Linked DNA regions of Lonchura striata. The protein of the gene in region 1 interacts with the protein of each later gene in a pairwise test. Links are inferred from orthologs where the notes say so. Each region holds a gene or a part of one and is shown on either strand. Other genes may lie near its edges.

Evidence for each region. The genes of interacting proteins can lie anywhere in the genome.
Region 2: the proteins of EDC3 (region 1) and ANXA10 interact in binary tests that used the Homo sapiens proteins (3 or more experiments, as listed by UniProt). The link is inferred for Lonchura striata from reciprocal best matches to the Homo sapiens genes EDC3 and ANXA10.
Region 3: the proteins of EDC3 (region 1) and DCP1A interact in binary tests that used the Homo sapiens proteins (3 or more experiments, as listed by UniProt). The two-hybrid records come from large-scale screens. The link is inferred for Lonchura striata from reciprocal best matches to the Homo sapiens genes EDC3 and DCP1A.

What each region holds. Positions count from the first base shown.
Region 1 is NC_134613.1:5,971,838-5,978,917, forward strand, and holds the start of EDC3 (enhancer of mRNA-decapping protein 3), read left to right. Parts: upstream 1-4,076; 5' UTR 4,077-4,149; intron 4,150-7,080. UniProt on the Homo sapiens protein: Binds single-stranded RNA. Involved in the process of mRNA degradation and in the positive regulation of mRNA decapping. May play a role in spermiogenesis and oogenesis.
Region 2 is NC_134606.1:37,811,887-37,819,209, forward strand, and holds the start of ANXA10 (annexin A10), read right to left. Parts: upstream 3,018-7,323; coding exon 3,000-3,017; intron 1-2,999.
Region 3 is NC_134614.1:10,596,356-10,603,318, forward strand, and holds the start of DCP1A (mRNA-decapping enzyme 1A), read right to left. Parts: upstream 3,018-6,963; 5' UTR 2,981-3,017; coding exon 2,846-2,980; intron 1,954-2,845; coding exon 1,913-1,953; intron 112-1,912; coding exon 1-111. UniProt on the Homo sapiens protein: Necessary for the degradation of mRNAs, both in normal mRNA turnover and in nonsense-mediated mRNA decay. Removes the 7-methyl guanine cap structure from mRNA molecules, yielding a 5'-phosphorylated mRNA fragment and 7m-GDP.

The DNA of each region.
Region 1 (7,080 bases):
GAGCCTTCAGCAGGACTCGCCTCGAGGGGACCCACCCTGGGTGCACCCACACAGCCAAATTCCTTGAATGTGAACTCATGGAGTGAATTCCTGAGTGTTCCTACTGATTGAAAAAACAAAAATCCACCAGCGGAGCCACTCACAAATTGAGATTTTAAATCAATCCTAACATGGAGCCTCCTGGAAAATCTCAAAGGACCGGGAAAGGGACAAAAAGGAACTGTAGGACACTGCTGGCTTTCAGACTAACCCTGCATTTGCTGCCTTTTTTAATATCAGGGTTTTTTTCTTTATCAAGCAATAGATTTCTGTATGCAGGCTAAGGAGCAAGGCTTTCAGGAGTGCAGGAGGTGCCTTTGCCACGCTCAGCTTTAGCCAGCGGGAAGGTGAAGCCTCATGGCAAACGCAGCAGCAATTCCTGCCTGTTTGTGCCCGCTTGGAATGCAGCTGGGATGGAAACCACACCACGTTTCTAACCCAATAAATACTCACATGAACATCTCTTGAGTCGCTTTCTGAATTTTATTCCACTGGAAAATAAATTTTTTTTTTTGCGGGGGGGAACACCCTATGCTGCTCTGTCATCCTTAAAAATCTGAGTTGGTGTATTGTAAACGCAGGCGAGCCCAATGGGGAGAAATGAGGATGTCTGACTCAATTCAGAAGGCTGAATTATTTTATTATAACTATGCTAAAATACATTAATATACTCTATTAAAGGAGGATACTAAAACTACAAACTACTTTCTCTGACTCTCACTCAACTTGTGACCCACTCTGAGAGTCCAGCTCCAGGTGGGTTGGATTGAGTTGGATTGGGTTGGGTTGTGTTGGATTGGATTGGGTTGGATTGGGTTGAGTTGGATTGGATTGGCCATCAGGCTCAAACAATCCTCACCAGAATCCAACCAAGCATCACCCCAGGTAAACAATTCTCCAACCACATTCCACATGGGAAAAACAAGGAGCAGAAACAGAAATTGTTTTCTCTTTCATTTCTCTCTGTGCTCCTCTATGAAAATCCAGAGAGGGAGAGAAACGTGCTGCCACAGGGGTGTGGGCTGTGACTCCAGGGGCACTGGGCAGTATTTTCATCCCAAAGGGAGCTGATTCTGGAAGGTGATGCCCTGGATCAGTTCAGGGCTTCACTAAAAATTGGGAATAGCTTTCTGTCCCTGAAAACCTGGAATCAGTAGGTCAGAGCCAGCCACGGGGGATGTTTTGTTCCCATTGCCGGGCATCATGAAATCCCAAGTTTTCCACGATTTCCCGTAAAAAAACAAACAAAAAAAAGCAAAAAAGGTGAATTTCCCTCGGGAAAGTTGGGGTCTGTTGATCCCCCAGGGATCAGCCCCAGCGCAGCTTGGAGCTGCTGGTGGTTTGGGTGTGGAACAGAGCAGCCTTGGCAGGGAGGGAGGGGATGGAAGGGATGAAAAGGGGACAGAGGTGGTGGAGGTATGAGGAGATGGGATGGATGGAGATGATGGAGGGGATGGAGAAGATTGAGGGATGGTGTGATGGAAATATGGAGGGGATGGAGATGATGGAAGGGCTGGAAATGATAAAAGGGATGGTGTGAAGGAGGGATGGAGATGATGGAGGGATGGTGTGATGGACATATGGAGGGGATGCAGATGATGGAAAGTATGGGGATGATGATGATAGAGGGGATGGTGTGATGGAGATGATGGAGGGATGGAGATGATGGAGATGATAGAGGGGATGGTGTGATGGAGATGATGGAAGGGCAGGAAATGGAGGGATGGTGTGATGGAGATTATGGAGGCATAGAGATGATGGAAGAGATGCTGTGATGGAGACGATGGAAGGGATGGAGATGATGAAGATGATGAAGATGATGGGGGGATGGTGATATGGAGATGATGGAACAGCTGGAAATGATGGAAGGAGGGATGGAGATGATGGAAAGGATAGAGATGATGAAGGGATGGTGTGATGGGGATGATGGAGGGATGGTGTGATGGAGGGATGGAGATGATGGAAGGTATGGAGATGATGTAGATGATGGGGTGATGGTGTGATGGAGATGCTAGAAGGGCTGGAAATGGAGGGATGGAGATGATGGAAGAGATGCTGTGATAGAGGGGTGGAGATGATGGAAGAGATGGTGTGATGGAGGGATGGAGGGATGGAGATAATGAAGAAGATGGAAGGGCCAGAAATGGAGGAATGGTGTAATGGAGGGATGGAGGTGATGGAAGGGATGGCGACTATGGAAGGGATGGAGATGACGAAGATCATGGGCGGATGGTGATATGGAGATGATGGAACGGTGGGAGATGATGGGGGGATGAAGATGATGAAGATGATAAAGGGATGGAGATGATGAAGATGATGGAAGGATGGAGATGATGGAGGGATGGAGATGATGAAGATGATGAAGGGATGGAGATGATGAAGACGATGGAGGGATGAAGATGATGGAGACGATGGAGGGATGGATATGATGGAGACGATGGAGGGATGGAGATGATGCAGATGATGGGGGGGTGGAGATGATGAAGATGATGGAGGGATGGAGATGATAAAGATGATGGGGGGATGGAGATGATGAAGATGATGGGGGGATGGTGTGATGGAGATGATGGAGGGATGGAGATGATGGAAGGGATGGAGATTAAGATGATGGGGGGATGGAGATGATGAAGATGGAGGGATGAAGATGATGAAGATGGAGGGATGGACATGATGAAGATGATGAAGGGATGGAGATGATGAAGATGGAGGGATGGAGATGATGAAGATGATGAAGGGATGGAGATGATGATGATGAAGGGATGGAGATGATGGAGATGATGAAGGGATGGAGATGATGAAGATGATGGGGGGATGAAGATGATGAAGATGGAGGGATGAAGATGATGAAGATGGAGGGATGGAGATGATGAAGATGATGGGGGGATGGAGATGATGAAGATGATGGGGGGATGGTGTGATGGAGATGATGGAGGGATGGAGATGATGGAAGGGATGGAGATGATGAAGATGATGGGGGGATGGAGATGATGAAGATGATGGGGGGATGGAGATGATGAAGATGGAGGGATGAAGATGATGAAGATGGAGGGATGGAGATGATGAAGATGATGGGGGGATGGAGATGATGAAGATGATGGGGGGATGGTGTGATGGAGATGATGGAGGGATGGAGATGATGGAAGGGATGGAGATGATGAAGATGATGGGGGGATGGAGATGATGAAGATGATGGGGGGATGGAGATGATGAAGATGGAGGGATGAAGATGATGAAGATGGAGGGATGGAGATGATGAAGATGATGGGGGATGATGCGATGGAGATGTTGGAAAGGCTGGAAATGCTGGAAGGGATGGTGGGAAGGAGGGGATTGAGGGACACAGGTGACAGGTGTGTCACACGGGAGTGACACAGGTATGACACAGGTGTGTGACAGGTGTGTGACACGTGCGTGACCCACGAGTGTGACAAAGGTGCCTGACACAGCTGTGACACTGGGAGGTGACCCAGGGGTGACACCGGTGTCTGATAGGTGTGACAGCAGGGTGTGACACAGGGGTGTGACACACTGGTGACAGAGGAGTGTGACACGGAGGTGACACACCTGAGACACAGGTGTCACATGGGTGTCACACGAGTGTCACACACAGGTGTCACACACAGATGTCACTCGGGTGTCACACTCAGGTGTCACACACAGGTGTCACTCAGGTGTCACACACGTATCACACAGGTGTCACTCAGGTATCACACAGGTGTCACACAGGTGTCACACAGGCGTCACACACAGGTGTCACACACAGGTGTCACACAGGTGTCACACACAGGTTTCACTCAGGTGTCACACACAGGTGTCACACACAGGTGTCACACAGGTGTCACTCAGGTGTCACACACAGGTGTCACACACAGGTTTCACTCAGGTGTCACACAGGTGTCACACGTTGTCACACAGGTGTCACGCAGGTGTCACACACGTGTCGCAGCCCCTGCGCGGTCTCTCACTGCGCATGCGCACACCTCGCAGTCTCTATGGTGTTTCCGGTGCCGGAGCGCCGCGCGCGGGGCGTGGCCGGAAGTGACGTCAGGCGCAGCCGCTGAGGGGAGCGGTCGGGGCAGCGGCAGCGGCGGCGGCTGCGGGGCCGTGCGGGTGAGTTTGGGCCCGGCTCCGGGATTGCGGCTTCCCGCGTGCTCCCCGCGGTACCCGCCCGCCGCGGGGCCTGCCCGGCGTCGCGGCTCTCCTCCGCACGCCCTGCCCGCCCTTCGCCCGCGGTGGGCCCGGGGCAGGCCCGGCCGGGAGCTGTGCTCGGCTCTGGTCCCGCAGGGGTTAATCACGGCTGAAGCGCCGCGCTCCGCTGTGGGGTGCTGTGGGTGTTTTTGGGGGGACCTGGTCAGCTCGGGGGGGCTCTGTGTGTGCCCATGGAGGTGCCCTGTGTTTGTCTCTGGGGACGTCTGTTTGCTTTTGGGGGGTCTTCTGTTTTGGGGTGTGCTGTGGGTACATGGCGGGCCCTGTGTTCATTCCGTGGGGGTTCTCTGTGTTTATTTTTGGGGGTCCTGGTGTTTATCTATGGGGGTTCCTTGTGTTTATCCGTTGGGCGTTCCCTTTCTTTATTTTGGGGGTTCCCTATGTTTATCCATTGGGGGTTCCCTATGTTTATCCATTGGGGGTTCCCTGTGTTTATCCATTGGGGGTCCCTGTGTTTATTTTTGGGGTTCCCTGTGTTTATCCATTGGAGGTTCCCTGTGTTTATCCATTGGGGGTCCCTGTGTTTATCCATTGGAGGTCCCTGTGTTTATCCATTGGGGGTTCCCTGTGTTTATCCATTGGAGGTTCCCTGTGTTTATCCATTGGGGGTTCCCTGTATTTATCCATTGGGGGTTCCCTGGGTTTATCCATTGGGGGTCCCTGTGTTTATTTTGGGGGTTCCCTGTGTTTATTTGTGGGGTTCCCTGTGTTTATCCATGGGAGGGTTCCCTGTGTTTATCCAGTGGGGGTTCCCTGTGTTTATCCATGGGAGGGTTCCCTGTGTTTATCCATTGGGTGTCCCTGTGTTTATCCATTGGGGGTTCCCTGTGTTTATCCATTGGAGGTCCCTTTGTTTATTTTTGGGGGTTTCTTTGTTTATCCTTGGGGGGTTTCCCTGTATTTATTTTTGGGGGTTCTCTGTTTATCCATCACAGGCTTCCCTGTGTTTATTTTTGGGGGGGGTCCATGTGTTTATCCTTGGTGGGGGGGGTGTCTGTTTCTTTTTGGCAGTTCCCTTTGTTTATTTTTGGGGCATTCCCTATGTTTATCCATGGGAGGGGTCTCTGTTTATTTTTGTGGGTTCCCTGTGATTATCCATGGAAAGTGTCTGTGGTTATTTTTGGGGTTCCCTTTGTTTATCCATGGGGGGATTCCTTTGTTTCTCCCTGGGGAGGTTCCCTGTGTTTATTTTTGTGTGTGTGTGTGGGGGGGGTCCCCTGTGTTTGTTTTTGTGGTTCCCTGTGTTTATCCATGGGGGTGGGGTCTGTGTTTATCCATTGGGGGGATGTCTGTGTTTATTTTTTGGGGGTTTAATGTGTTTATCCATGGCAAGGGGTCTGTGTTTATTTTTGGGGGTTCCCTGTAACTATCCATGGATAGTGTCTGTGTTTATTTTTGGGAGAGTTCCCCGTGGTTATTTTTGGGGTTCCCTGTGTTTATCCATGGGGGGATTCCTTTCGTGGTTATTTTTGGGGTTCCCTGTGTTTATCCATGGGGGGATTCCTTTCTTTATCCCTGGGGGGGTTCCCTGTGTTTATTTTTGGGGGTTCCCTGTGTTTATTTTTGGGGGTTCCCTGTGTTTATTTTTGGGGGTTCCCTGTGTTTATCCACGCAGGGGATTCCCTGTGTTTATGCATGCTGGGGGTCCCTGTATTTATTTTTGGGGTTCTCTATGTTTATTTTTGGGGTTTCTCTGTGTTTATCCATGGCGTATCCCCATTTTCATTTTGGGGGTTCCCCTTTTTACCTTATGGGGCTGCTATTTTTGCCTATGGGGCTGGCTGAATTTACCTGTGGTAGCTCCACATGTTTTTAAATATTTACAATATTTATGTTATTTACAATATTTGGGATCCCTGTGTTTACCCATGGGGCTCCCTATATTTTCCTACAGCGACACAGCCACCCCTCTATTCCAACTCCAGGGTAGTTAAACTTATATTTGCACTCAAACATAGATTTACTTTTGGGTTTTCTGTGCTAAAAGGAGGCTCCTGTTTTTCAGAAGTGTCTGTGTAAGGTGCTGCTGTGTGCCGAGCTCCTTCCTGTGTTTCCTAAGGGAGATGAGAAGAAAGCAGGAAATGGAAGGAAGCTTTGGTTTCCCTGTGGTCCCCAAGGCTGTGTTATCTGTGTTTTGGGAGTGTTTTTATCAGCCACCTCCTTGGAATGCAGACATTGTCACCGTGGGTTAACATAAACACACAGCCACAGGAAGGACAGGAGCTGCTCCTCAGGAATTGATGGCTTTGTCACCAAATTTCACATTTTCTTCCCTTTGAAGCATCCCCTCTTTTCAGCCTCTGAAAGTTGGGGGAAGTGAGATTTTTTTTTTCCCCCCTAATCCAAGTTGTTTTTTTTTTTTCCCTTGTTTTTTTTTCAATGAGGCTCAGCTTGCAGAGAATCCAGCTGCCTCTTCCAGAAATGTGATTTATACATGGAAGTTGCTCTCCCTGGGCTGTCTGCCGTGTTTCTTTGTGCTGTTCACAGTAAATATCAAACATTCTCCCTCTTTGATTACAGCATGAAAGGCAAATCTCCACATTTAGGAGCTTGTCATGTCTCCTGTTCTCCGTGATGCTCGTGAGCCTGTCACTGGGAAATCTGGGATCAAAGGAGCTCTTTAGCTGCTTCCAGCACTGTTGGAAACATCTGTCTAAACAAATTGGAGTTTTTCTCCCCTGGTTTTGACAGAACTTCAGTGCAAGGAGAAAAACTATTTTAAAATTCATTTATCTAATCGTGGCACTGATGCTGCCTTTGCTGCTTTTATCCTGCATTCCAGTTTTTGGGGATTTTTTTCACCCTTTTGTGTTTCTCTGTTGGTTGGGGTTCCCC
Region 2 (7,323 bases), on another chromosome or scaffold:
GTTGGTGGAATGAATCAAAACAACTAAAGACTGGAAAGGGTCTGAAATTTATAATGGTTCTGAAAAATGATACTTGGAATTTACCTTCTGTGTAAAAGCAAGAAAGTAACAGCTTTTTCTGACCAAAGTCATAAGGAGTTCAACAAAAGTATCAGTAAAAGGTGAGGCTGCTTTTATTAAATTATGATGTGCAAACTTCAGGCAATTCAGTCTTGTGATGGAAAAGCATTCTGAAGTACAAACAACCTTCTAATATTTGTTCAGCAAGTCATTCTGCTGATAACAAACAATTGAAGTCAGACTCCTTAGTCTGAATATTTCCCATAGGGAATGTCTACTAAAATAAAATGTTTTTTTTTATTAGCTAACCACATGCTATGAGCTAGCTATACTTTTGCAAAGATATCATTTGAGTGCAACATTATTAAATAAAAATTTCATGAGTATTTCGGTTTGTTGTGAGTTTCTTGTGTGTTTCATTTATTTTCAATAATATGTGATACAGTAGTGGAAGGGATACTTCTAAACATAGAAAATTCATTCTCCAAAGCCTTCTGTCTCTCTCTGTTTATGTATTTCAGAAAGGTCATAGATATAATCTAATTTCTTATAGTTTTACCTGTGGTATTTACTATAGGGTGTTTTTTGATGATGCTGGTTTGTTAGCTGGTTTGCTGCTGCTGTCTGCAGCAGCAGGACTGCTGCTGTCAACAGTTTGTACATCTACTTCTTGCTCTTGAAGGACTCCATCCTATCTGATTGTTCACAGAAAATGTATGCAATTTCTGATATGGGTAGCATAAAATATAAAGATAATTTTAAAGAACAAAGCACATTTTGAAAGTAATACTTCAGATTTTTCTATTGTGCTTCTGAATTAATGGTATACTCAATGTTCTGAAATTCTTTGAAAAATATCTAAGTCCAAAGTGTACTTCCAGGACTTTTTTGCAATCTAGAACAGTGTTTAAGAAGAGTAGAGAAGAAATTAATGCTATGGTCCCACCACTTAGTCTTGTATAAGTCCTGTTTTCTTGACTGAGACTTGCTGAAGTGATTTTTCTGCTATTTTGTTGCTGAGTCTCTTCAAAGAAATCTGCCACTGCTCCATGACCAACTTGCTCTTGAAATACCATCAGCATTCAGTGGAGAATGTTTGCATGCAGCTCTGCCTTACATGTCCCCATTCTGTCTGGATGCCTCAGTAGGGAAGTATGTTCCTAGGATCCAGTGATTTAATTCATAATTTCTCTCCCTTTCCATTTCATAACACATGGAAATTGGATTAAACAGTAAAAATTTACCTAACCTGGGAATCCACCCCAATGCATTTCAGAGAAAGCCTGTAATCAGATTTTCCTGTCTTTCCTGGGTCTGATATACTCCCCACTGTCTACAGTTGCTTCTCTGATCTCTTGTGTCTGTGATGATGAAAAAAAACAAGGGTTTATCAGTGTGCCTTTTTATGTTTAGAAGAGGGTATAAAGAGTTGATATTAAAACCATTTATTCTGAAGTATTTTGATGTAATTCAGTGTATCAGAATTAGAAACTTGTCCGCTCTGCTCAAGCAGTTCATTAGGCCAATATATAATAGTTACATTATATTAAGCCTCATACCATTGTAAACATCTGCCACAGTTAGAAATTGTCTTATCTATTAATTTGTCTTTATAATGCTATCAAACTGCTACATTGTTATTGCAAATATAATAATTGCCAATTGTAATGACTTTAAAATCACTTCCTCTGTAAGTTATTTTATAAGGGACTACCATTAATTTTAGGCAACATATTATATGCAGATGCGGTGTCAATTATTTAAATATAATTGGTTGCAATAAAACAGTAGAATAAAAGAAACTGTATTTCTTGTCTTCTCCAACAGAAACTGATCTACTACCTTTTTAAGGTATAATATTCTTTATGTTGTCCTAAAATTATCAGGAATAGATTCCAAAATCACTGTAACAAAAAGAGGGGGGAAAAAAGAAACTAGGAAGAAAATCTCTTAAGTTCTTAACTGTCTAGTAAGGGATGCAAGATCCTAATTTGTGGAAAACCAAACATATTACTAATCCTGATTCAATAGCAATAACTTTAGAAAAGCAACTATATGCTTTATATATATAATTTTATTAGAAGAAATACTTTACTGCAAAGATTGAAATAATGAGTCAATTATACATTATATTAAAATAAGAAAGGGAAAAATATTTAATTTTTAGAAAAATCCATATTGGTTTGTAAGTTTGGGAATGTACATGTAAAAAGCCTTTGAAAGGATCAAATCATTATTCATATCAGTAATAATTGAAAGAATCCTTAGAGAACATGATCAGTATGCCAGGTACCAAGAGAAATGTCATATTTTGTTGTCATGAAATAGTAACTCCAACAGTTTCTAGAATGAAGATTTAAAATTTCATTATAACCCTTTTTTTCCTCAAAAAGCACTAGCGAAGCCATAACTCTTCCTGTGTTGTGGCTCTTGTATAGATAGCATTTTTTAACTTTAAAATATTTTTCACACTATGAACAAAACAAATTTTTATAAATGATGAAGCTATTTACTTTATGCAGCTAGAGATGGTCTTGTCAAATTATAACCCCCCCAGAGTAGTGCCAGAAATAGCTATCTTCTGAAAAACTCATATTTTTATCTTTAATACGGTGATAGTATGTAATTTAGCTTCTTGTTTAGCAACTTAGTGCCAACATAGAAAACACACCTATAGGATCTCACAAGGGGGCTTAAGTTGATTTTTCTTTTTCTTGAAAGGTCTAGAATTATGAGACAGGAACTGATAATTCTTTAAATTTTAGTCTTTGTTTCAGACACTTGATATATCTAAGTAACACCAAGGTTAGACTGAAATCACAAATGAATTATCTTCACCTTATATTAATTTCTACCAGTGAAGGGAAATGGCTACCAACACATGACGACAACTTAAGAGGAATGACAATTTTGGAAGATTTCAGAGAACAAATACTTACGTAATCTCCACAATACATTTTGATATGAGTCTTCAAGTTCTGTTGAGATGGAGTAGTAGCTTCCCTAACTAAAAAAAGTAAATACAGTTATAGTAAAACCTTGTTCTGTTTTGGGGATTTGTGAGAAGCCATCCAATCAAACTGAAACCAAGTACATTAGGCTCCAAAGTAACAATGAAGCAAAACCTTGGTACCTTGTGTCCTTGGGCTTTATAGATATACTGTGTGCTTAGTCATTAACCATGCATTGAATAAGTGTGATTATAATGTAAGTAAACAGAGTCACTAGCCCAACACCCTCTGTTGTGCTGTGTTGATTTTAGGAATCAGACTTCAGCTAGTCACAGGATGAAACACTCACCTACCAAAAGTGCTTGTGTTAATAATTTACTTTTCAGATTGAATCTGGTCTAGTTCCTTTTTTTCATCCTTGTGCTGAAATTGCACAGCTCATCACTTGCTCTAGTATCTGTATATTTGTATCTGGCATGCACAGAAAGATGCTTTATAGCCCTTATATATCACCCAAATAATCAGGTAGCCTTAGTGGAACTCTGTAAATAAGGATCTTTTAATGCAAGTTAGAACTTGCAAAATCCTGCAAAGAGCTGATCAAAAATCCAGTATTGTTGCTCTATCCAAGGACTTATACAGAATCCTAACTATCCAACTGACAGTAATCTCATTTTTCATAGCTAGTACCATATTTTTCTGCTTATAACTATTATTGTAATAAACCATTGATAAAACATGAAGGTTTTTCACACATACAAAAGGAATATAAAATAGAGGAACATAAAAATAGAGGTGCAGAATCATTCTGTGTATCCTCTCCTGCAACTTGAATGGAAGGTATAGGCTACTGTTATCCTGATTGAGCCCATTTTAGAGGGGTAATATTTTCCAGTAGTTGTACAGTTACAATAGCTCAGAATTAAATTACTCCAAATTTTCTTGGTTTCCTTAATGTATCTGTCACAGACTTGGGAGCACTTATTAAAACATGCATGGAGATTTTTTCCTTATAATTTAGAAAGACTTAGGAAAGAATAAAAAAAATACATTTTCTTGTAGCTGTAATACCTTAGCAGCTCTTTTAATTATTTAAAGCTTTCTCTGGATAAACCAGTATTGATTTGAGTATAAGCTTTTTCATGTCAGCCCATGTTATATGTAAAGGTGTCCTTAGAAACAGCTGGGAGATTTTCACAAAGAAACACATAAAACAGGCTTGACAGTGGTATGCCTTTACTTTCTCTTTTTTTTTTCGTTGGGACTGTGGTAGATATTTTACTTATTGTAATTGTACCAAGTACGTACTTTATCTCTGTATCTTGAGTGCCCTTTGAGGGTGGCTGGGGAATGCAGTTCCACTATAGAAGTAAGAAAAATTATCCATAAAGAATCTGGTCTGGCTGGTTAAAGGTGCTGAAGATGGTGCCCAGAGTAGGATTCAATCTCCTGATGATACATATTTTAAAACAGAATAAAAGAATATTAAGCCCATCTTTTTTACAGACTCTTAATTTTGTCTGTTTTCTTGCTGTGATTAAAATGCAATACAGTTAATCTTCAGTACAACAGAAAACAGATTGAGTTTACAGGATTACATTTCAGTCTGCATGTGCCCAAATCTTTAAGAACAATAGGGTGTAAATAAATAGTCAAAACCTTTTGTTCTATGAAATATTCAAACCTGGCATATAATGTGGTGAAAGCACTTAAAAATAGACTTTATTTCAGTAATCAATTAATGAAGCTTTCAGAAAAAAACTGTGAGAGAGTCTAGAGAAAATGGGAGAAAGGTTTCAATCTCCTTATCCCTTAGAATGTCCTTTGGCTGTGCTTTCCTGCCTTCTCTCTCCCAAGGTGGGAGGCAGGGCTTACCAACAAGGAAATGAATAACATATTTGTCCATGTAATGCTGAGCAAAATGGATCTAGTGTTTAGAGTGAGCCGCACCTTCACATTTTCTTCAAGACTCAGTAGGTCATAGGTGTGAGTTATTTCTAAGGGAGGAGCTTATCCTGTTTTAGGGGAGAGCCAAAGAAGCTGTGTTCCCAGGGGTTTTGGCAATCTCACTTTTGGGAAAAAAAAGAAAAAAAAGACTACTTGGAAATACTGCAGAAGAGAGTAGCAATAATTAATTATGTGGAAAGACAGAAAACACTTGGGTTTTTTAGACTAAAGAACAGCACAGGAGACCTTAAGAGTTGGAGAAAATAAAATATCTTGAAAGGGAAAGGGGAAAACGTTTTGAGTTCACAATGAACTGGACAGATTAAGGCCTATTTTTTTCTGTTTCACCTCTATTTAATCTCTGCAATTCTCTCACTGTTGCCAGGTAAAATTTTTGTTACTGTTCTGGGTACTTGCTTGCTTTCCTTCCTCTTTTTCCTGTTTCTTTTCTTAGTTATTCTTCTCCTCATTTTGTTACCTGTTCTTTTTTGGACAGTCTTAATTTTCTGTTGAAGCAAGAAGGGGCTGGTTCCTCTTCTTCAAGTCCCTACAACCAATGGAATTTTTAATGTGTGCTAAAGTTCTTCTCATTAATATGCTTAGGCGTAAACATTGCAACTGACAATTTCCATGTTGTTTTAATGGATACCTTGAGTAAAAATAATGAAATAAAATCAACTTTTATTAGGGATCCATCTAAAAAATATGATATATTTAAAGTGAGAAATAAATATTATTAAATAGGAAATTATTCTATTTGTTTTCCCTGAAAATTAGCTTCCAGTATATCAGTTGCATATAAATTAAAAACAAAATTCACATTATTGGTATAATAATCTTCAGGTATTGCTCTGGAGTAGTCAAATAATTGAAATGTTTGTTTAGTATTACTGCAGCTGCAAGCAGTAAATTATGGGACTTTGTGCTGCTGAGTATGTAGTTTGTGGTGAAATGAAAATCTGAATACAACTGGAACTGGTATAATTTCTAGCTCTTACCAGACCACAGAAAGTCTAAGCGTGGTACAGAGGTTAAGAAGAAGGGGTGGAAAGGTAATCTCTAACTCTAGTGTAGCACTAACAGCCTTGGGCATTTAAAAAAATGTCTCTGGGAGCTTGTGTAGAATGTGTGGAGCATGTTATTCACCATGATTAAATGAAGTGTTTGATGTCAAATACCTTAATGCAGTGAATCTGTGTAGGACTTATGACTTAAAATTTAACTCTTGCAACTCCTAAGTCTTTAGTTATATTACTTAAGGAACCTGTCAATTCCCCTTAGGGCTGCAAGGGCCAAGTTCTTCTTTCTGAGAAGAGCTCTAAGCACAATATGTGTACGCAGGAGGCAATTTGAGATGCTTTCAGAAAAGGAAATGAAATCTTGTGATTTCAATGAGGATCAATTTGGTAAGCTTTGGTCCATATCCCTTCACTTCATGGCATCCCATGCCTTTTGATGATTTTAATTTTGACAAATATTTTTAAATTTTGTTTTTCAAGTATTCATGTCATCTCATTAATATCTTCCCTTCTATGTTCTATTATCATATTTAGTTTTTTCCCCTGATTTCGCAGCATCTGTGAGGTTAGTTTTGGCATGCTTTGGTCTTTTTCCACTGCAAAACTTGTTTCATCCCAGTCCATTTGATTGTAGCCACTAAATTTCCAAATTTTCTTTTTATTTTCAATTGCATTTAATTTCTTTCCAGAGTTTGTAAGGCTTTGTTTTCTGTTTTCAAGATTTCATTTCCTTTCCTGAAAGAAAATTCTTCCTTTCAGGAATGAAATCTTGTGATTTCAATGAGGATGAATTTGGCATGCTTTGGTCCATATCGTTGCACTTCATGGCCTCCCATACCTTTTGATGGTTTTCCCTTTGGTGAAGATTTTTATTTTTTTCACTATCCATGCCATTTCATTCATATCTTCCCCTCAGTCTTCTGTCTTCATGTCTGTTTTTCTGCCCTGATATTGCAACATCTGTGAGGTTACTTTTGGCATGTTTTTGTCCTTTTCACTGCACCTCATTTCATACTAGTCCATTTCCTTATTGTCACTAAATTGCCAAATTTTCCTTTTTTTTTTTTTAATTGCATTTCATTTGATCATATCTCCTTTTTAGAGCATTTGTAAGGCTTTCTTTTCTGTTTTCAAGATTTCCTTTTGTTAAAGGAACTGTGAGGCCTATGGTGCTGTTATGCTGTGCCTTGGGAAGGTGGCTGCCAGTTCCTATTTGGGATATAGCCTTTGGCAGAAGGCTGACCACATGAGGTGATGGACTATTGAAGAAGACAGTGAGTAATGAGAGGTAGTAGTGGGTGTAGCTTTATAGGAACAGCAGAAGCAAAAGCACTTTGACTGAAAAA
Region 3 (6,963 bases), on another chromosome or scaffold:
AGAAGAAAAGGTTCATGGAGCTGAAACTCCAAATCTTTATTTACTGGCTCAACCAGGTTGTGCATATTCAGTCGATTCACTATTGTAAAACCATGGTAAGGAGAAGCTGACCTATTGTGTCAAGGAAAACAAAACCAAGGATTAATATCTTCATTAACGAAAATAATTTTCTGATACCAAGTTATGAATTTATCTTCACATTTCCATTGCTTTCTTACATGAAGTTTTAGCAGTCCTGCAGCTCTCACAGTTGTTTTTCTATGCCATTTCTTGGCACACCACCTAATTTCAATTTCAAACTAAACTGCATTTACCTCAAAGCAGGATTAGGATTAACATTACAATTCTACACTGTTACACTGCTGAATCAAAGATATGCCTCGGAAAAATCTATTAAAAAAAACTAGGGCAGGTCCACTATTAAAATGCAAATTTATTCAATACTTGATATAAGATTGTTTTGAGGCATTTCAGAATTTTTTAATTAGAGGACAAAAACCAAACCATTTACACAGCATCATTACCTTATTGTAAATAGACATGACAATAAAAAAAAGAACTGCTATCTTTTAAATAGCATGAAGTACACTTACAGGGGGAACCATAAACAGTAATTTATTCCTAAAGGGAGACTCTGCAAATAAAGACTTAAGCCAGTATCCTGAAAGTAAATTATTCAGAATTGTATTGCTCAGTGAAACAATTTTTATTTATCTAGATTTTTTCTGAACACCAAGTAAAAAAAGAAAACACTGAGCAAGCATTGAAAGTTCAAGATAGTTTTAGATCTGTTTTTTCTTGCTGCATGAATGTCCTGTCAGCACTGAACTGTGCCTGTAAAATGTTGTATAATCAACAACAACGAAGGTAGGCTAAAAATCAGACACAATAAGCTGGTAAATGTAAAGATTTCTGTAACAGCGTGGCCACCTTTACCTAATGATTGACACCAAAAATCTCTCAAGAGTTTCCAAGGACAGGGTAAACAACCATTACCATCACAAGTGAGTCCCTTAATGCACCTCGCAGAACTTGTTTGAAATCATCAGCTAGTGACACAAAGCTTTTGCTTTGGTTTTTGATTTTATTTTTTTTTAAGTTTGGTTAATACTTTCTTACACTGCGTATTTCCAAGCTGGGAGCTGAAGTAAAGGAACTGTGACTCAAATCCCTACACAGTACTGAGATAAAATATTGTAACAACCAAACTATGACAGTCTGCCTCAGGATGGCTTAAGTCTGCATTATTTCTATTTCTTACCTTCAACAAAGTGTTATTTAATTTAGATTTTTTAATTTGCCTATAATTTAAGACTTGAACTTATGATTGATATTATGTGTTGGTTCTCCTCAGTCCTTTTACCTGTCCTAGAGAGCTGGAAATTTCTTCCATGATTTTGAGAGGAAATCAGACAACTCCCAAAACCAGACATTACAAGATCTCCAGCTTTTGGGCAACTCCATCCATTTACAAAAATTTATTATATATTCCATTAGTAATTTAAAACACATTATTTAATTTCTCATGTCTATCGTTTTCATAATCAGCTTCATGGATGTTAGGAGACAGAGGGAGACTTGGCATTAAACAAACTCAATGCACTAACAAATGCTATTGGATTAATAAAATAAGCTCAATAAACTAGTTTTTGATGTGGGTACATATGTAGCATTCAAGTTTTACACTTTCTTAGCAATACTTTTAGGGGCTTTTAACAGAGTTATTCACCCATGTGCAGAATTTATTCTTCTTGAATGACTACACAGCAGTTAACAGCTGGACAAGCAAAAAATGATGAGTATGAAAGCTCTGTAGGAAGCCATCTGGAGCTTGTTTTCTTAAGGAAAGAAAACAAATATCGCCACTACTCTATACCCCCTCCCCCAAAAAACCAACCCAAAGTAACCTTACCTTTTATACACAAATAAGGTCCCTTCTATGTCAGTTTTTTCCTACAAAAGATAACAAAAGCACTTCAGGGATGTGCTTGTTCACACAGGTAGGTTTTGTACAGTGTTTTAATTACAGACTTACAATATCCATATCTTTCCATAAGGTTTGACATCACAGGACAAAAATTATGCTCCCTTATTTTCATAACTTTCCAAATTTTTTAATTAGAAGAATTAGGACGTTAAACCTACTTCCAAAACACTTTGCTCACTCTCTCTATTTGCCGACGTGATACACACACATTGTTCCACAACCTTCCCCTGCTGAGCAGACTCCAAATATCCGAGAGGTTGTGTTCCAGTTCTACTCCAAGGACAGCCACAACAGCACAGCACGGTAGCACCGTGGGCATGGCTCTGTGGCAGACTCCAGCTCCCAGAGCAACCCTCAGCACGGGCGTGTCGAGGAAAGCTGCTCCAGCTCCAGGGCTGCACGGGCAGTTCCCCATATTCCCATTTTTATGGCTCTGCGATGAACCCGGCGGTCAAGCCAAAACTGTGCTTTAATGCAATCTTAAATTCCTCTCTTCCCGAATTAGGGCTCTGTGCAACAGGCGCGAGCAACAACAACAAAGTACCTTTAAAAACGAGAAAAGTCAATGGCCAGCAGCAGCCAAGGCGCGCTCCAGCCCCGGCGCTGCCCCGGCCCGAGGGGGAGCGGCGCCGCCTCCCCGAGCGCACGCACGGCCTCGCCTCTCCCTCTTCCTCCTTCTCCTCCTCTTCCTCTCCCTCTCGCCTGCTCTCTCCGTCTCCCTCTCGCTCCTCTCCCCCATTACAGGAGGGGGGAACGCGCCCAAACCCCGAACTCCCCTGGGTTCGGCCCCGCGCGGGCGCGCCGGGCCCGGCGGCTGCCGGGGCGCGGGCACGGCCGGGCCCGCCCCGCCGGACTCACCCACTCGTTGTCCTTGGGGCTGAAGCTGTAGAGCGCGACCTGGCCGGTCACGTCGGCGATGCCGGTGATGAAGGGGTCGTGCCGCCGCAGGGCCGCCAGGCTCATCTCCTGCCCCGCTCTGCCCGCCGCCTCCATCTTGGATCCGGGCAGCCCCGCCCGCGGAACGGCGACAGCCGCGCCGGTGCAGCGGCGTGCCCGGCCCCGCCGCCGGCCGGAGCGCGCGGCCCGCGCCTGAGGTTCCGCCCGCCGGCCTGGGCCCACGCCCCGCCCCGCCGGGCCCTTCCCGGGGCCTGTTCTCACCTCGGGCCCGCGGCCCCTTCCCGGCCCCTTCCCGGGCTCCTCTCCTCACCGCGGGACCGCGGCCCCTGCCCGGGCCCTGTTCTCACCTCGGGCCCGCGGCCCGTTCCCGGGCGCCGCTCCCCGCTCGCAGCGCCGGGCACTGAGCGCTCGCAGGGCCGTGGGCCTTGGGCAGGGCTGCGGGCTGGCCCTCGCATCTTGTTTTTATTTATTTACCCCATTAGTGATCCGCAGGCTCCGGAGCTTACTGCAGGCTGCCCTGTGAAGCGCGATGAGCTGGCTCACAGGCTCAGGAGGGTGGATGCTCTTTGCTCCCGTGTCCGTCATTTTCTGGTATATCAGTATTTCACGGTCTGCAGTGGGATATGGAATTCTCAATATTTTAGAAGAATTTGGGGATTAAGTATTTCTGTCAGGTGTAGTAAACATCCACACATACGTTTCTCAGGTAAAGTGAAGGTGCATAGGGCGCTAAACTGCCCTATGTAAAGTGGAGTGCTGTGTAGTACATATCTACATTTGCTGAAACAAGAACAAAGTAATATGCAGTGTACTGAGATTTTTTTCCTGCAGCTTTTTCAATTACTGGTGATTTTAGGAACAGGAAAGTGTAGTATATTCATCAGGACCAAGGCATAAATTATGTCCAAGATAAGATCACTTAGGTTCAAGTACCTTTGTAGCATTTTTTGCAATCTGACATGGAATAAACAGGTTTGTATATTTCTAAACAAAATCTTGTCTGTGGCAGGCTCCTGACCCTGAGTATTTCAAGAATATGTGCTATGCTCTGTATTACCACAAGTCAAGTTTTTTTGTTGCAGGTGGACAAACTTCTGATACAAACTTTTAATAGAGCTTTACAGGATAGTCCTCTCCTATGATGGCTGACATTTATTGCATTGCATTAACCATAAACAAGGATCCAGCAGTTGTGTGGTTCCACAAAAGTCTATCTGATAAGAAGTGGAAATACCAAGTTCTAGTGTAATTTTTTTAAACTGTAAAGCTTTTGGGACAAAACAATAATGTGCCTATTTTGGTGTCAAACAGTTACAGTGTAAAGTGAAAATGCATTTATTAGGGAAAAAGTAATCTAGACAGAAAACTTCATCCCACTAACTCACCCTTGAACCCCAGGGCATAAACATCAGTAAAAAACTCAACAAAAGTCATATGGAATGTCTTGGAGCTCCATAAATTGTCCATGTCTTTCTAATGGTTTCACCATAGAAGAGCCTAATCCATAAAATTTGGGTTTTCCCTAGTTCTGTAGTGTTTGCTCTTAAAGGCAATACTTTGATGTAAAATTTCTCATTATTCACTAACAGTTTATATTAGAGAAAGATGCTAAGAAGAAATTAAACTTTGAAATCTATTTTATACAGCAACCACATTCTAAGAACTCAAATAGAAGGAAAATGACAAAAACTTTTTTAAAAAACTGGTTCCAAATGGTATCTTAAACGTCTGCATCAATCTGCCCCCTTCTGCAAGATTACTGTAAAGAAAAGCTATCTTTCAAATTTAAAAACTTATTGGCAAAGGAAATTTTGTGCTGTTTGAGATCTCAGTTGTGAAAAACTCCTTGGCTTCATCTTGCATTAAAAGTGAATCACAAGGAGCAGCAAGGAAGGGAAGCAGTGGTTTCTGCTTCTGGATTGTTTTCCTCCTTCATCTGCTCATTCCAGTGCTGCATTTCAGTGAATTTATTCTCCCTGTCTTCACCGTTGCTGCGTTGGAATAAAATATTTTGGATTGGAAGTGATGCATGGCCTGTCCTCTGCCTCCTCAACCTTGCAGCACAGCAAAGTGTGTGTACAGGCAGAGTCTGGGGGTACACTGGGGAGTTGTAGCTACTCAGGCGTGTGCTGGGAGTGCTGTGTGGTGCAAATCTCCTCAAGCCTCCCCAGAGCTGTGCTGGGGAAATGTTCCTCTCTCACTCCCTGCTCCTGATCCTTGCACGGAGCCAGGCACAAGCGGGATGATGCACACGGTGCCCACACGGTTGTAAATGCAGGCAAACCCAATGGGAAGAAATGATGATGTCTGACTCAATTCAGAAGGCTGAATGATTTCTTTACTATAACTATGCTAAAATACATTAATATACTATATAAATGAAGATACTAAAACTACATACTACTTTCTCTAACTCAGTTCGTGACCCTCTCTCTCAAGTCCAGCCCCAGGTGGGTTGGATTGGCCATCAGGCTCAAACAATCCTCACCAGAATCCAACCAAGCATTCATTCCAGGTGAACAATTCTCCAAACACATTCCACATGGGAAAAACAAGGAGCAGAAATAGAAATTGTTTTCTCTTTCATTTCTCTCTGTGCACGTCTATGAAAAATCCTGAGAGAGGGAGAAATGTGCTGTCACAGTGTTCTTTTCATGTTTTCTCTGTGAGTGGGACAGATTCCATTTGTGTTTCAACAAGTGAAGGGAGCATTGTGTTTTATAGTTCACTTATACTGCTGAGGTTTTTTAGAAGAGGATATATTAATTTATTACCCTACTTAATCTGTGTTAATATTAAGGCAGATGAAGTAATAAAGACCCTCTTTTTTGTTTGCTTTTGACACCATGGCTGAGTCTCTGTTGCTCTGCTGTTGGCAGTTCTGTTATACAAACTCTTTTTCTGGCCCCTCTTTTTGCACAGTAGATTACTCATGTGTTCCCAAAGCTTATTTGGGCTGCAGTTACTCCTTTAAACTTCCTACAGAAAAGTTCTTCAGTCCTTTTCTTTTTCCCTTGTTGGCTGAATATCCTCAGCAAAAGATTATTGCTGCTGTTCAGATGAGGGAGAAGTGCAGCCAGTGCTCCCAGTCAGTGCATTTCCTGTTATTACTCCTGGCTGAATTAGGGTCCAGGGAGTCTTGCAAATCTGAGTGACTCACAGAGCTTGTATTTTTTCTTTACAGTTTTCTATTCAAAACAATTGCCAGAAATTCCTGGTTTCATGAACTGTTTTGCAAATGACACACTTCTGTTGGTTTGTTTGCAGATGTTTTCCTTGTTTTGTAATGGGAGGCAATTTCTGGGCTATTGATTGATAATTGCATTGTTATCTAAACCCTAAATTTCAGGATAATGGCTGTAATTCTACAAACTGTTTATTTGGGCTTAGTTCTAGATAGGACAAAAGGTCCTGGTCATAACTTCCTTAATAACTTAATGAACTTTTATTTTGCATTTTATTGCTTAAAAAAAAACCCAAGGGGAAGGGGATGCTAGAATTTTTGAAGTGCTGACATTTTATTTGAAAAACCTTTTTATTTCACAGGTGGCATTACTTGAGCATTTTCCTCATTTGTATAAATATGGTATAAACTGCTCAGGTTCTATAGTTACCTTCCCTGGCAGTTATTCTGCCCTTTGGAGGACCATGTGGATCAGCAGCCTTTTCTAGGAGCTCCAGCTTGCACTGTGCTCTCTCTGCACTAATGCTGCAGCCACAGGTACCTTACTGCATATTCATGGTGACAAATCCTTGCTTTCAGTTGTGCAAAATCTTCTTCCTCTTTCAGAGGAAAGTTTTCCAAATTGCTACATATTAACAGTAGAAGGGCAGCAGTGTTAATCCAAACAATTAAATTTGGTGGGATGGAATGGTGTGTAAAGGGACTGCAGGTTTGGCAGGATCATCACATGGAAGTGACAAGCTTTAGGAAGATTGTTATGGGACTAGTGATTTACCCAGCTTTAGGTAGGGGATTTTTTCCTGTTTCCATGCTCTGTATAAAACAGATCTAACACAGAACTATTTTGCATAGTTTCTGAGTTTCCCAGCTGTTGCAATACTGAAATGTGAATTTA